2 linked regions of the Caenorhabditis elegans genome follow. The protein of the gene in region 2 purifies or fractionates together with the protein of the main gene of each other region. This does not show direct contact. Each region holds a gene or a part of one and is shown on either strand. Other genes may lie near its edges. The genes, in order: lst-4 and mtm-1.

Region 1 (9,405 bases), on a different chromosome or scaffold from region 2:
TTTGCCACGGGCTTTCAGATTCTGTCATATCTTGAAATGGGAGGGGTTAATGACCGCGACGCAGGTGCGAGCGGCGCGGCTCGATCGAGAAAAGTTTATTTTATTTTTTGCCCAGAATGCGTGATTTTTCATTTAAATCTTCAAAATTTTCGATTTTTTCAGAGAATAAAGGTTTTTTAAATCTATTTTTACCAAGTTTTGTTTATTTTTTAAACTTTTCCTTAAAAAAAGAAGAAATTGTTAAAATTTAAAGATATTTTTCGAAAAAACGGAAAAACGAACATTTTCAATTTATTTCTTAAAAATTTAATATTTTTAGATTTGTTATAATTCGAAAATTTGACAACCTCCATGTAAACGCAAAAAAAATCCAAAAAATGAAGGAAAATCACGCATTCTTGGCAAACGTCTAAAATAAACATTAATTCGAGCCGCTCCGCACGCGGCTGCGTCGCGGTCCTGGCAGAGTTTCCCAACCCTCAAAAACTCTTCCACTTCAGGATATAAGGGCCTCTGTTCAGTACCTTGTGCACTTGAATAATATCCGGCACATTTTGCACTGTTCCCTTATACGAATAAAGGTTCTCAAGCACTGGTTCCATGTCATTCTTCGTGTGCGCATCGAATACTTGCCCAATTTCATGATATTCTGATGCAGTGTAGGCGAGAGCTTCTGTCAGGCGGCGACTGGCTGAAAAATTAGAATTTTTAAATTTATCCAAGAACTTTTAAAAATCCAAAGATTCATACCAACGGTCTCATCAATCTCAAAAGATTGCTGAAGTGTCTTGAACGCGCTTCCCATCTTTTGCCAATTTTGTTTTACCGCTGAAATTTGATTTTTTTAATTTAAATTTTTAAAGCTCGAAAATTTCCAACATACGTCCAGCGAAGACCTTCTGGAACATGTTCATTCTCTCCTGCATCACACGCATCGCTTCTTCCGATGTTTTGACGCTCCGTTGGAATCGTTCAACTTGCATATCGCTGGAAACATGTAGGATTACGCAGGATTATCAAACTTTCTGCGTAGAATTCTATTAGTTTCTTACACATTATTCGGATCCAATGGTTGATGTGGAACAGTGATACAGTTCAGGAAAGCTCCACCAATGTATTCATCCTTTTCAGCTCGCCGCTTCCCATTCTTCCAATCTTTTTCGTCGGTGCAACTGATAAAGTGGAGCCAAACTTCCGACTGACTCAACACTGGATGCCTACAAATCTTGTTGACCCATAACTGAAGAATGTGCTTCCGATGATCAATAAGATCCTCCTCGTATCTTCCGGCGACCTGTTTCTCTGGCAACGGTGGAATCGGAATGAGCACATATTTAGCCGATAGCTGCTCGTGGAGCCAATCGAAATGCTTGTAGCGACGGGATACCTGACGCTAGCAAGCGGTTAGTAAGCGTCGAAATCTACAAATTTACCTGAATATTAGTCAAACTCGACGTAATCGAATATGCGATGAAGCTCTTCAGCCCTTTCAGCTTTGACTCTTTCTTCGGTTTATCCACTATACACGTGTAGTACTGTTGAATCGGTTTCCATTGAATAATTCCATTGTTCATCACAACTTCATGTCGTTCACTAATCTGTGAGGTGGTCTTTGATTCACCAATCACGTACGCTTCGACTCCGGACTTTACAAAATTCGAGAATCGATTGATGTTCTTGTTGACCTTATTGGATCCTCGATCAGGTCCACCGTGTTCCGAGTGGCTACGGCTGAGGTCACGACGGGAGTTCGAGCCGATCGAGGATTGAACGTTGGGCCGAGTTGGTTCCTGGAAATCGGAATTTTTTGATTTTTTTTATTTTATAACTTTTTGGACACAAATAAGGAAAACATGCATGCGTTACATAACAACCTCAATAGTTAAGGAAGCTTGATACTTTAAGCCAATCAGAACAACGAGCAGTCCCGTACGCCTCAAACAACACGTGGAGTCAGAAAGTCCCGCTTCGCTCTGATCTACGAAAAATGCGGGAAGTGAGACGCAGACATCTGATTTCGCATGGTTAAGAGTGTGCTGACGTCACAATTTTTTTGGGCGAAAAATTTCCGCATTTTTTGTAGATCAGACCGCATTGAGACCAGGGGTGAGCGGCAATCGGCGATCGGTGATCGGCGATTTTCGTGATTTTTCGGCGATCGGCGATCGCCGATCGCCGATGGAATTTTTCAATAAATTCATCTCGATTTTTAAAATCTCATGTTTTTTTTAAACGATTGTTTTGTTGTTTTTAATTTTTTTTTTGAGTAAATGTTAATTTTTCGTCGCATTTCCTTACCAAACAAAAAAACGGAAAGGTGTTTTGACCGAATAACTCGGTTAAAATAGCCGATCGGCGATCGGCAATCGGCGATCGCCGAAATTTTTCGGAAATTGGTGATCGCCGATCGCCGAAATTTTTCGGAAATTGGTGATCGCCGATCGCCGAAAAAAAAAAAGTTTGGGCGATCGGCGATCGCCGATCGCCGATTTTTTTGGGCGACTGCTCAGCCCTGATTGAGACTTTCTGACACCACTTGAAACAACTTATCGAACAACCCGAACCTTATTCTGATCGTGGTGAGACCGATTCGAGCTCAAACACGAGCTCACCGACTTCTCAACTCTCCGTCGACTATCTCTCTCCTCACTGAGACGTCTCCGTCGGGCGGTGCTATCTTGCCTACTCAAGCGCTTTTTGGTGCTCGTGGAGCGGGTAGACGAGCCCACACTACCGTTTCTTTTGCTAGAGGGGTAGGCACCGTCTGCAATGAGATGTGTGAGCGTTGTTAAAGCCACTATGCTTTGAAAATCTTGTAATTGCACATTCGCGGGAAATGAGAGATCGAAAAGAGAGAAACAGAGAAGCCACGTGGCTCCACGTTTTTTCGTTGCGAGGAACATCATCTCTTCTTCAATATCTAACCTTCCAACGAATGTGTAATAGATGTCCGAATGCTTCGCCGACAAGAACTATTCTAATAACCTTGCTGACTACTCCTCGTCTCGTCGTCAGTGGACATATCCGTTCGAGACCCACTTGCACGATGATGATGATGACGAATCGAGTTTTGATAATTCACAACTTGATCATGGACGGACAGACGGTGTTCCTTAATCAACGGATTACAAAAAGTGCTAGAACGCTGAACGTTTCCCCTAAAATATCTAAAAACGAACCCACGACGGTGAGAACGAGACGCTCGCCCTATGAAATCCACGAATTTCAGTAATAGGAATAGGACGGTTATAGAAGAAGACGTCGGCGTCCGATTGACGCAGTCGACGCATTTTTGCATGTATATATATATATGGATATATGTATATATATATATATACATATATATATATATATGTGAGTATGGATATCCAATAGGATCACCAAAAAAGACTCAACACATGATGATAGTTTTCGAGAGGCGTCGGGTGGCGACAGAGCAAAAATGAGCTGGTGGAGAGTGCTGGGGGATTCTCAATAGCAGCAATCAGGAGAGATGCTTGCACATATAAAGCGCGGGGTGTTGCAAAGAGCAGTTGAGAAGGGATATCCCTATTTTTGAGAAGAAAATTTGGGTTTTTTTTTTGTTTTTCAGGGTGATTTTTTAATTGTATGCGTAGTATTAATTTTGAAACCGACATGAAAAGGTGCTCCGCCCCCGAACCATAGGTCTCGTTAGGTATTGGTGTCAAAGTGTCTCACTTCGGCGTGATCTACAAAAAATGCGGGAATTTAGACGCAGATTTTTCAGCAAATTTCGTATGGTTAAGAGCGTGCTGACGTCGCATTTTTCTGGGCGAAAAATTCCCGCGTCTTGTAGATCAAACCGTTATGGGACAGCCTGACACCCCGTGTATTTGGCGTTAGGTATCAGTTTCGCCAATTTTTGAGAATTTTCCGTTGTTTTAATGATTTTTTTGAGCACGTTTAATACCCAACGAGACCTATTTTATTGGGGGCGGAGAGTTTTCATTTGCAGTGGAGCGGTGTGTCCCAATACAGTTTGATCTACAAAAAAATCGTGAATTTTCTCCCAGAAAAATTACGACGTTAGCACGCTATCAACGAAATCAGTTGAAATCAGGGGTGTGCGGCAAATCTCAAAATTTGCCGAGCTCGGCAAATTCGGAAAATCTCTTTTTTTCAATATTTGCCGAGCACGGCAAATTCGGCAAAGTTGCCGAGCTCGGCAAATTCGGCAAATTCGGCAAACTCGCCGTGCTTAACAAACTCGGAAAAATTTGATATTTTTTTTATGTTTTTTGGAGCACCAAAACTACTGAATTCTTAACACACATCTGGTTTCTGAATAAGTTCCGCGTAGTATGTCTGTTTAAGCATCAAAATAGCTCAATTTTGTATCATTTTACTAAATTTTTGGCTAAAAAATCAATAGTTTTAGTCAAAATTGTACTGTCAAATTTTTGACGTGTGCGGCAAATTTCGAAATTTGCCGAGCTCGGCAAATTCGGCAAATCTACTTTTTTGAAATTTGCCGAGCTCGGCAAACGGCAAATTCGACAAATTCGGCAAATTTGCCGCACACCCCTGGTTGAAATGTCTACGTCTCACCTCCCGCATTTTTCGAAGATCAAAGTGCGAAATGGGACTTTCTGACTTCACGTGTATTAAGAAAAAACCTTTGAATGCTAGAGTTAGTTGGAGTAAAATTAATAAAACCTATAAACTTAAAAAAATTCTAAATAAAAAATCCCAGTTAAATAAAAATGTCCTTTACATTTTGAAACGACGGCGACTGATTAACTTGTAGATGATCTAGAGCGATAAAGCTCGAGGATCGTCCACGAGCAAACAGCATTCGCGAAAATTTCAGCAGCAGCAGAAGTTGTTGTAGTAGTAGCAAATAAATCTGGATGACATTTAAATAGTCGCAGCCGACGACGAAGAGAGAGAATTTCGAATGATTAGAAATGAAATGTCCGAAGAGAAGAGGGTCCAGCGGCGACGGAGTGGAGAGACGACTTCTACCGGAAACCAAGTTGCGGCGGCGACGACAACGATGTCGTTTCCCGGCGATTTTTGAGGAGGATGACTATTCTTTTTGGACTTTTCGTTTGGTCTTTTAGGATATATAGATTTAGGAGTTAGAGGGTATAAATAGGACGGACAGAAACTGGACAATCAAAAAATTAAAATAAAATTTTAAAAATACCTGCTCATCATCCTCATCCGTCCATTCATCGTCAAAATCATCATTCTGTGATGGATATGAAGATCTAGTGACTTCCGGTACAGATGGCGTTGGCTGATGATGATGTTGGGCTCCGTAGGATGGTGGAGCAGCAACTTCTGAAGCGCCTCCCCAATCATCAAAAGGACGCGATGAGGCAGCTGGTGGACCGCTTGAAGTTGGTGGGAGTGGTGGTGGTAGGACCTGGAATTTTTGAGTATTTATGAAATTGTTTAAAAAGTTAGAAAATTGAAATGGGATCTGTGTGTCATGTGGTCCCATCACGGATTGATCTACAAAAAATGCGGGATTTTTTGCCCGACAAAATGTGACGTCAGCACGTTTTTAACCGTGCACACGTGGTGTCAGGCTGTCTCATTGCGGTTTGATCTACGAAAAATGCGGGGATACTTTTCAAGAAAAATTGTGACTTCAGCACGCTCTTAACCATGCGAAATCAGATGAGATGTCTGCGTCTCTTCTCCCGCATTTTCGAAGATCAAAGCGAAATGGTACTGTGCGAAATCAGTGGATAACTCTACGTCTCAATTCGCGCGTTTTTTGTAGATCAACGTAGATCAAGCCGGAATGGAGCACTCTGGGAGCTACAGTTATTACGTATACGTCACAAGAAAATGGGTCTCGCCACGCTGACAACTGTAAATCGACACGAGTAACAGAAACTTGTTGTCAGCGTGGTGAGACCCGTAACCAACTACTAGAGCTCTATTTTGTGATATGGTACGGTAGGAGTACTGTAGGATTACTGTAGAATAACAAAACAAATCTGTTGTGAGCTTTTGTGGAGTCTCCAGCGGTGTCCTATTTGAGGATCGACCTCATTAAGTTTGGTAGCGAACACATGGTGTCAGAGTTTCCCATTTCGGTTTGATCTACGTTGATCTACAAAAAAAATGCGGGAGAAGAGACGCAGAGTTCTCATCTGATTTTGAATTGTAAAGAACGTGCTGACGTCACATTGTTGGGCAAAAAATTCCCGCATTTTTTTTGTAGATCAGACCGTAATGGGACGGCCTGGCACCATGTGAGCGAATGTAAATTTCAAATTGTCAAAATTTACTCTGTTTGGCACCTACACGTGGTGCCAGGCTGTCCCATTACGGTTTGATCTACAAAAAATGCGGGCATTTTCGCCCAAAAATATGTGACGTCAGCACGTTCTTAACCATACGAAATTAGTGGAGAACTCTGCGTTTCTTCTCCCGCATTTTTTGTAGATCTACGTAGGTCAAACCGAAATGAGACACTCTGACACCACGTGCACCTATGAATTTGCCTCAGAATTTCGAGGAATTTCTGAGAGGTTTGGAAAGAATCGAAAAGATTATCTTCTACACAAAACCCCTACACTCTTCGATATTGCTCCACTTTTCTTAAAACTGCTCTTTCTAGACGAGTGCTTCCCAGTGGAATGCTGTTCATCCTCTTCCTCCATCAGAATAGGTGGCTTCATCTTATGCGGTGAAGCAGATGTGTCTTGTTTGATGAGTGTACTACACGTGTGTCGTCGAAGCATCTGTTTGCGACGACGTTCGAGAAGCTGCCGATGAGCATCTTCAGATGAGCCGCCCGGTGGTGTTGGGTAGTTCTCAACGGCCTTTCGAAGACTCGATGTGAAGAGCATTCGCGAAAAGATCGAAAAGTCGGATAAAAAGTAGGAAATCTCTTGGCAGAATGAGTGGAATATAAGACGAATCAGGTATATAGAGCTTCTTTGAGAATCTACTTATTTTGTTTTCAAGTATCTGGACCGCCGTCTTCAAGTGAGTAGGAGGATCCGAACGTCTCCAGGGACCCGAGGAAAAACCAATTTCAAAATAGTTTTTCTTTCTTTTTTTTTCTATTTTGTTCCAGTCTCTTCCGCTTCATCTCACTCCTCTTTGTTGCGTTCTTCTTCCACCATCTTTTTTATTATTCAAATTTCATGGGCTTTTACTCATCTTTCTCTCCGTTTTGAATATTTTTCGGAAACAAGCATCAGATTCAGCGATTTCTAGAGGGTTCCAGCAGCTCAAAATGCTGATGAGAAGGCAATTTCAATCATTTTGATGCTTTTGGCTCACCACAACCAATTTAGATGCTCCCCGCAGAAATGCACACAACGAAGACACACAACGAAGACACACACACACACACACAAAATACAATCAAAACCGGAAATAGATGAGAAAGTGGGTTAACTAGAAGACAAATGGGTTACCGGTGGCGGACGAGAAGCTTGATAGGGAGTTACGTAGGATTCGGGAAAGAGTCCGACGGATCCACGCACGTTTCGACCTTCTATCCATCCTCCGTCGATGTTCTGAAATAAAAACTCTTGATTTTGCTTTAAATTATAGAAAAAAATGGGCTGAAATGATCGAATAATAAATTCTTTTTGTGATTTTTTTTCCATTTTTGGGTAAATTCTTTCGTTTTTCTTATTTTTTTAAAGAGATATTTGAATTAAAACGCCATTTATCAGTTTTTCAGACATTTTTCCGCGGAGAAAACTTGTTCTCCGGACGAAAATTGGCCTAAAAATCAGGAATTTCATATATTGATAAGAAATTTTCAGGAAAAACGCCTGGAAATCTGACAAAACCAATGAATTTACACCATTTATCAGTTTTTTTTTGTTTGACAAAATTATGTAAATTATCAACGTTTGGCCAGATTTAAAGTTTCTGCGTATTTTGTTCGAGGAATCGAGTTTTCGCTTCGGAAAAATGCCTGAAAAACGAATAATCAGTGTTTTAAAACAAAAATTAAACAAAAAATTAAGAAAAAACAGATGAATTTCGCCAGAAAACGGGAAAACGCCGATTTATTCACGCGGGAATTCAAAATTAATTTAGCCGATTGTTTCATTTTACGATTCAAAAAATCCTCGAACAACTCTGTTCCACCTGCTCAAAAAGCCTCTTACCTCTCGAATAACCGTCAAAACTTCGCCAGCCGAGATTGACAGTTCGCCTGTGTTTGGTTGACTTTGAAAATCATACTCGGCTTTCACCTGAGCCATTTCTCTGAAAAAAATGTTAATTTTTAATTTAAAATATTCCAGAAAAAGAGTAAAACTGAATTTTCAGCAAGGTTTTTCAGTTGATAAGTGTCAAAAAAAGCGAGCGAGCAGAGAATATGAGAAATCAATAAAAAATAAACAATGAGTCAGCCAATATTTCAATACACAACGCGGCAACTCGTGATGACTGGTGAAATTGGGAAGTTTTTTAGGGAGGAGGAGGAATAGGTGTCAAATTTCCATAGGCATATGATTAAAATTGTTGAATTTTGGGTGGGAAAGTGCATTTTTGGGTAAAAAAAAACACTGTTAAAAGACAAAATGCAGCAATTTGAAGAATTTACAGAGTGCTTTTTCGTTATTTTCACAGAAAAAACTTTAGAAAGGGTCCAGTTCAATTTAATTTTAGAAAAATGGGAAAAATTCGCATAAAAACCTGACAAAATTAACCTTTATCGCTCGAAAATAATATTTTTTTTCGAAATAAATTCAAATATTAAAATTCCCGCCGCAAAAAGTTGTCAATGGAGCGCACTTACAGCCAAAAATTGTCATTGGAGCGCGCTTACAGTAAGCAATTTTTTATTATTTTTTCAACTAATTTTCAAGAATTTTTCTTTCACAGTGATATCAATCTATGATTTTATACTTTTTTATAAGAAGATCAGCAATTTATTATTGACCACGAAATAATTATAATCTTCCTTATAGACTTTTCTAGAATTAATGCGATTATTCCGAAAACACAACACACAAAGTGTTCGTTTAGCACATATTTTTCGGCAAAGCAACAAAATTCCCTATTCAAACAAATATAATTAGACATAGCCAACGACATCCGATATCTTGCGAAATCATCTGGAAAACGGTTTCGCAACACAAACCACCGGGGGTGACGCAAGCAATACAGTTATATGAAAGGAAGCAGCTTTATGGTCACAAACACAAAAGCCAATCAACTTCGGAAAAAAAATACGAGAAGCGCAGAGAAAAAAACGGTCAAACCGAACGCGAGATCGTAAAATCGGATTGTCCTGCCAGGCGGTGGAAGGTGAACCGGTTTTTTCCTGATTTTTCAGTTCTTCTCGATTTCTCCTGATATCAAATCAGCAATTTTTCGAATTTTCCCGCGAAAATATTTATGTTATTGTCAATTTACCCTGATTTTTCACAAATTTCCCACATTCTCGCT
Region 2 (7,297 bases):
AGTTTTGCAGAAATATGATGCACGAGCCACCATTCCGTGTCTTCTTTGTGGAATCTGTTTGTGATGATCCTGATATTATCAACTCGAATATCACGGTAACCTTTAGATCTTCAAAATAATCACCTTAACCCGCATATTTTCAGGAAGTGAAAATCAATTCGCCAGATTATAAAGGAATAATGTCTCAAGAGGAAGCAAAAGAAGACTTTTTGAAGCGTATCGAGAACTATCGAATGCAATATGAGCCACTTGATGAGGATCATGATGAAGAGCTGAGCTATATCAAAGTTATCAATGCCGGAAAATCCTTCTATGTTCACAATGTTAATGGTCATGTGCAGAGTCGTGTTGTGTATTTCCTGATGAATATTCATCTTCTTCCAAGAAGTATTTATTTGTCAAGAGTAAGTTTAACAAAAAAACCGAAAAAATTTTGCGCTAAAAATAGGTAACAGGTCTCGACGCGAAAATTTTTATTAAATGCCAAAAAGTGTGCGTCTTTACAAACTACTGTAGTTTCATTTTTTTTGCTGCCGAGTTTTCATTGAGTTTCAGTTTTCTCACGATTTGCTGTAAAAACGTTTTTATTTTTTATTTCACTTTTTGATAAATTAATATTTTTTTACCAAACAAGCTAAGAGAGCCCGTAAAAAAACTTGAATTTTAACAAATCGTGAAAAAAAAAGAAAATCAATGAAAATTCCGCAGCAACGAGAGTTTGAAATTACAGTATTCTTTAAAGGTGATGCCTTTTTTCATTTAACAAAAATGTCGTGTCAAGACCGGACACCGGTTTTTTTGGCACAAAATTCCGTTTCTGGGATATAATTCATTCAATTAACAGCACTGAGAATTATCAAGTATTTTTAAACTTTTATAGTTTAAAAATCCCTTTAAAAAATTTATTACAGCATGGAGAAAGTGAGTACAACAGAATTGGTCGTCTTGGTGGTGATTCCCCACTCAGTGAAAATGGTTTAAATTACGCTGGAAAACTTCGCGAATACTTCGAAAAAGAAGATTTGGACGATTTCCGTGTTTGGTCATCTCAAAAGATTCGTGCCGCCCAGACAGCTTCTCATCTGAAAGATCTCGCTGGTCATACAGAGTTCTGGAAATGTCTTGATGAAATCGATGCCGGAATATGTGAAGGATTAACTTATGAAGATTTCGAGGCTCGTTATCCGAAACAATTCGCTGAAAGAGATAAGGATAAATATCACTACCGTTATCCAAGTGGGGAATCATATGAAGATCTGGTTGCTCGTCTGGAGCCAGTTATCATGGAGCTTGAGAGACAATCCAATGTCCTTGTCATTTCTCATCAAGCAGTTCTCCGTTGCATTCTTGCCTATTTTACTAACAAAAATCGAGATGATCTTCCATATCTGAAGGTTCCATTGCATACAGTCATCAAGCTCACACCAAAAGCCTATTCCTGTGAGATTGAACTTTTCAAATTCGACATCGAAGCAGTCAATACTTACAGAGAGAAGCCACAATAGGAAGTATTTATTCTTTATCTAGCCAATTATCTATGCCAAATGTACATTTATTTTTTCATACAAGTTCCCATTTTTATGTCGGGCGTTTTTTTTGAGATTGCATTTTCCCTGTTTTTGAACAATTGCCTTTGAATTTAAATACGTTGTCGTTTATGTGAGAGTTATAAAGATTACATCGATTTCAATTTTATGGACTGATTGCAATATTTCTCGCTGTGTCATTTTCTACAATAATCTATTTTTAATGTATTAAACGGTCAGGAGCCACATTAAAAATTTAAAAGAAAACCAAACAAGAACGCGTAACTGAGTTGTTGTTATTTTAAAAGAAAAATCAATTCATATAAAAATTAATCCTTAAAGGCGCAGAGATTTATTCAGATGGGTCCCGACGCGCAAAAAAGTTTATGGTAATTGTGTTTGAATTTTTGCGGCTGCTTCCTCGTTTATTTTTCTTGCATTTTTCAATTTATTAAGGGAATTTTGTCGTTGTTTAAAACCATTGTATGAAAAAAACACAGGAAATCCCACATTTTTAATGGAAGTAGTTTATTTGTACTTTGAAAACTGATTTTAAACATATTCTGACAGAAAAGTGAAAAGAAAACGACATCTGAATAAATCCATGCGGTTTTAAAAAGGATTGCCAAAATATTGTGAAGTTACGATAAAAACAAAGCTGAAGCAAGTTGTATTTATTTTCTGCACATACCTGCGTCTCTTAGTGGCCTTCTTCTCTCTCTCTCTCTCTCTTTCCCAATAATCGTTCCACTATTCGGCTTTCAAACATTCTCATACACTTTCAAAAATCAATTTACAGGAAAATTGATCGAAATGTCAATATCAATGGATGACAGAGGGAACAATAGTGGAGAAGTTGGAGAATGTGAGTCATCACGAACTATTTCGTTATGAAATTTCGTTATTTGAATTCAATTTATTTTATCATTTCAGTTGCCAGTTCATCAATGATACAAGAATCAATAGATCTCAAATTGTTAGCCGCAGAAAGTCTTATTTGGACAGGTTGGAATTGATTTTTTAACAATTATAATGTGAGGAATTACAGAGAAAAATGTGACATACTTCGGACCACTTGGAAAATTTCCAGGTAAAATCGTAATTACTAGGTATCGAATGGTTTTTCTCGTTGGTGATGGTGGAAAAATGTATGAGGTTTGTGATTAAAATTTTAAAATTATATTTTACAAATATAAACAAAAAATTTCAGCAATGGAAGCTCGATATTCCACTCGGACAAGTGTCTCGGATAGAAAAAGTTGGTAGAAAGACGACGAGTGTTGCCAAACGAGGCGATGATAATTATGGATTCACAATTTATTGTAAAGATTATCGAGTTTATCGATTTACATGTAATCCAGCATCGAGTGATAGAAAAAATGTTTGCGATTCGTTGAATAGATACGCTTTTCCGCTATCGCATAATTTGGTGAGTTTTTTTTTTAATTTTAATAGGGGGCTTTTGGCTCTAGAACTATTGGAAATGAAAAAAAATTCTGATATTTTTTTTTAATTTACGAAAAAATAAAATTAATTATTCATTTATTGGTTAGCAAAAAAATTAAAGTTAAAAAAACACGGTATCGTAATTTCACAAGTTTTCGCCTTAGAAAGCCGCACGGATTTCTTCAAATGGGTCTCGGCACGCAAAAAGTTTATTGTGTAGATTTTAAACAATCAATGATTTATTAAAAACTTACTTGACAACCAAGAAATAGACAGCCTAACTTGAAAAACAACATTATTCAACCAAAAAAGGAAATTTTCAGCCAATGTTCGCCTCTGTACATGCAGCAGAAACACCTAGACTTATGAAAGATGGTTGGAAAATTTATTCAGCTGAAAAAGAATATGAACGCCTTGGAATCCCGAATTCACGTCTTTGGAAAGAAGTGGACATTAATAAAGACTATAAATTTAGCGAAACTTATCCAAGAACTGTAGGTTAATGATGGTTTTCTTTTTTAAAAATAATTTTATTTCAGTTTGTAATTCCGACAGTATCTTGGGAGGAAGGAAAACCATTTGTAAAGAAGCTCGGCGAGTTTAGAAGCAAAGAAAGAATTCCCGTGTTGAGTTGGATTAATCAGACAACTTTAGCTTCAATTTCACGATGCTCACAGCCAATGACTGGAATTTCTGGAAAAAGAAGTGCTGAGGACGAGCGGTAGGTTTTATTTTTATTTTTAATGATAATAAAAAATAATCGGAATATTAATATTCTAATATGCTGAAATGTCACAAAAGAAAAACGAAAAAAAATATTTGGAAAATCGTTTATTAAGATATATTTTTTAAAGCATTCAATTTTTCAACAAAAAATTATATTTTTCAGACATCTCACGAACATTATGAATGCCAATGCTAATTGTCGTGAACTTCTGATCCTTGATGCAAGACCAGCAGTCAATGCAAAACTTAATAAGGCAAAAGGTGGAGGTTATGAAGAGAATTATGTCAATGCTCCTCTAACATTCCTCAATATTCACAATATTCACGTTGTTCGGGATTCATTAAAACGATTGCTAGCCGCGCTGATTCCACGTGTCGACGAGAAGGGATACTACAAAGCGTTAGACGAATCGAAATGGCTCAATCATGTTCAGAGCATTTTGGAAGGAGCAGTAAAAGCTGTCTTCAATGTTGACACTGAAAAACAATCAGTATTGATTCATTGTTCTGATGGTTGGGATCGAACTGCACAGCTGACGTCGTTGGCAATGATTCAACTCGACTCCTATTACCGTACAATTGAAGGATTTATCGTTTTGATTGAGAAGGAATGGTGTAGCTTTGGTCATAAATTTGGAGAGAGAATCGGTTCGTTTTTGATAGATTTTAAAAATCATGCAATTAAAGTTGCAGTAGCGTGAATGAGGATTTTGCTTTTTTTAAAAATCCATTCAGAAAATTTTTAAAAAAATCAAAAAAATTGCGAAAAAAAATCCAACTTAAAAAACTAGATTTTTCAGTTCTGGCGAAGTTCCCAGTTCTCATCTTGGGGAAAATTCAAACAGGAAACTTACTAGGGAACACGATAACTATAAGTTATACTTATAGTTATCGTGTTCCCTAGTTAGTCAAAATTGATAAATCGAATTTTTTAAAATTTGAATTTTTCATCCGTTCGCAATTTTATTTCGTTTTTCTGTTGTGGTATTTCTGAATTTGAGAAAAATTTGGAATTTTTTGAAGCTAACAACTATAAAAAATATTATTTGAGAACCAAAAATCTTTGATTTTATACTTTCCGTTCAGGTCACGGCGACGATAACTACAGCGATGGAGAACGATCTCCCGTATTTGTTCAATTCTGTGACTGCCTATGGCAAATTATGCGACAATTTCCATGGGCATTTGAATTTACACAAGAACTGCTAATTTGTATGCTCGATGAGCTCTACGCTTGCAGATATGGAACATTTTTGTACAATTCCGAAAAAATCCGGCTGAAGGATAAGGTTGTTTTCATGAAGATTTTTTCAATTTTTTTTTTTTCAACTTTTCAGAAATGCGATGAAACGACGATATCGTTCTGGTCCTATGTTTTGGAAAATAAAAAGAAATTCAGAAATCCAATGTTTAAGCATGGAAGTTAGTTTTCTGTTAAACTAATATTAAATCTCAAAATTTTAACTTTCAGAATCCAATAAAGTGATAAACGTAAACCCATCTCTCTGCGGTTTACATGTATGGATTGATTACTACGCCCGATCGAATCCATATGTAGTTACTCCAAATCATGAGGTAAACAGCAGTTCCGCTAGAAAATGATAATGAATTAATTAGAAGTTTTAGGATGTTCAACAGCCAGGCGCACAGTTTGTCGACGAGAAAAAGCAATTGTTGGATGAGATTATGGCTCTTGACGACGCTGCTCAAAAATTGACCGCCTAGTTATTTTAATTATGCTCAGTTATTCAATTTTGTTGTTAGACTTTTAAAAATTTAATTTAGAACTTTTCACTGTGATTTCATTTTGCTTTCTTTATGTGCATTGTACAATATTATATGAAAATAATTCATCTTTAAATATTATTTAATTAAATACAACAGCTGTTAAAATTAAATACAACAGCATAATAAAGAATAGACTGTTAACAGTCTATTCTTTATTATTCAAATTCAAATTTGCCGCCATTATCGTTGCTGACGTTTTTCCAGGGAGCGCGCGAAACACATGCAATTTTCAAATAGGAAAAACAATTGATCCAGTATTTTTCCTTCCTTGCTTTGATTTTATTGCTTCAGACTTATTATTCCGATCTTAAAAGTCAAATTAATTGATTAAATTCTTTAAAAAAGTAATTCATTTTCAGATGGAAGTCATGAACAAAGAAAATATCATCGCCGATGCGCCTTCTGATGTCGTAAAAACCGTTCAACAGCAAGTTCACTTGAATCAAGATGAATATAAATATTTGAAGCAAGTTGAGCAAATTTTGAGAGAAGGAACACGAAGAGATGATCGCACTGGGACTGGAACTATTTCGATTTTTGGAATGCAATCGAAATACTGTTTGAGAAATGGTAACGCTTTCGATTTTCCATTTTAAAAATTAATACTTTTATAGGCACAATTCCGTTGCTTACCACGAAACGTGTCTATTGGAAGGGAGTTCTCGAGGAATTACTTTGGTTTATTTCTGGATCGACCGATGGAAAGCTTTTGATGGAGAAAAATGTGAAGATTTGGGAGAAAAACGGCGATCGCGCGTTCCTTGACAATCTCGGATTTACGTCTCGTGAAGAAGGAGATCTTGGACCAGTTTATGGATTTCAATGGAGACACTTTGGGGCGAAATATGTGGATTGTCATACAGATTACTCTGGACAAGGTGTTGATCAGTTGGCTGAAGTTATCCGACAGATTAAGGAGCAACCGGATAGTCGAAGAATCATTATGTCCGCGTGGAATCCGTCGGATCTTGGACAAATGGTTCTGCCACCGTGTCACACAATGTGTCAGTTCTATGTGGACAATGGAGAGCTCTCGTGTCAGCTTTACCAACGAAGTGGAGATATGGTGAGCAAAAATTTCAATGTAGTAAATTACATATTTTACTAGAAGTTAAATTTCAGGGTCTCGGAGTTCCATTCAACCTTGCCAGCTACGGCCTTCTCACCCACATGATTGCAAAAGTGTGTGGATTGAAACCAGGAACCCTTGTTCATACTCTCGGAGATGCTCATGTCTACTCAAATCATGTGGATGCTCTCAAAATTCAACTGGACCGTGAGCCATACGCTTTCCCCAAAATTCGATTCACGCGAGACGTGGCCTCAATCGATGATTTCACTTCTGATATGATTGCCCTGGATGACTACAAGTGTCATCCAAAAATCCCAATGGATATGGCTGTTTGATTTATTTTGATGTAACATTTTAACACTCATCTAATTGTTTTCAGTTTTATGAAAATAAACATTGCAAGGCTTCTATATACACTACGCATATCAAAAACATTACAATAGAATTTTTCCACATTATTCAAGAGAAAAAAAAACTTGTCAATAGGTTAGAGCCCCAACAGGAAATCGAATCAGTCATATTTTTTTCTATATGCGTGTTGTTTCTTTCGCTCTCCCACTCCTTCTTTTTCAATTTCATCTTCCATCTACAAAACCGATTTGTTCAATCATCTTTTCGCTCATCATAACCGAGCCAACTCACAGCTCATCCATCAACTATTTGTGCTGTCCTGCCAATGTCTGTCAGTTTGTCAGGTGTCCAAGTGCTAAAATTTGTCCTTGTGGTTTTGAAGAATGTT

Evidence for each region.
Region 1: the proteins of mtm-1 (region 2) and lst-4 purify together in Caenorhabditis elegans (affinity purification with western blotting, with the first as the bait; one study listed by BioGRID). This does not show direct contact.

The regions. Positions count from the first base shown.
Region 1 is NC_003282.8:14,061,638-14,071,042, forward strand, and holds the start of lst-4 (Sorting nexin lst-4), read right to left. Parts: upstream 6,834-9,405; coding exon 6,558-6,833; intron 5,393-6,557; coding exon 5,171-5,392; coding exon of another isoform or gene 5,096-5,170; intron 3,026-5,095; exon of another isoform or gene 3,023-3,025; coding exon of another isoform or gene 2,986-3,022; intron 2,765-2,985; coding exon of another isoform or gene 2,565-2,764; intron 1,791-2,564; coding exon 1,434-1,790; intron 1,394-1,433; coding exon 1,053-1,393; intron 988-1,052; coding exon 884-987; intron 829-883; coding exon 751-828; intron 692-750; coding exon 525-691; intron 1-524. UniProt on the Caenorhabditis elegans protein: Involved in the signaling of vulval development by acting as a negative regulator of epidermal growth factor receptor (EGFR) signaling. Aids in phagosomal membrane tubule formation which is required for phagosomal fusion with endosomes and lysosomes.
Region 2 is NC_003279.8:5,132,416-5,139,712, forward strand, and holds mtm-1 (Phosphatidylinositol-3,5-bisphosphate 3-phosphatase mtm-1), read left to right. Parts: upstream 1-2,323; 5' UTR 2,324-2,351; coding exon 2,352-2,391; intron 2,392-2,459; coding exon 2,460-2,531; intron 2,532-2,574; coding exon 2,575-2,681; intron 2,682-2,736; coding exon 2,737-2,955; intron 2,956-3,295; coding exon 3,296-3,466; intron 3,467-3,511; coding exon 3,512-3,693; intron 3,694-3,861; coding exon 3,862-4,346; intron 4,347-4,784; coding exon 4,785-4,987; intron 4,988-5,035; coding exon 5,036-5,120; intron 5,121-5,169; coding exon 5,170-5,273; intron 5,274-5,324; coding exon 5,325-5,423; 3' UTR 5,424-5,556; downstream 5,557-7,297. Other genes in the region: pfkb-1.1 (6-phosphofructo-2-kinase domain-containing protein), read left to right, coding at 1-95, 144-404, 912-1,505; tyms-1 (Thymidylate synthase), read left to right, coding at 5,855-6,056, 6,101-6,552, 6,609-6,893. UniProt on the Caenorhabditis elegans protein: Lipid phosphatase that specifically dephosphorylates phosphatidylinositol 3-phosphate (PI3P) and phosphatidylinositol 3,5-bisphosphate (PI(3,5)P2). Negatively regulates accumulation of PI3P on intracellular vesicles.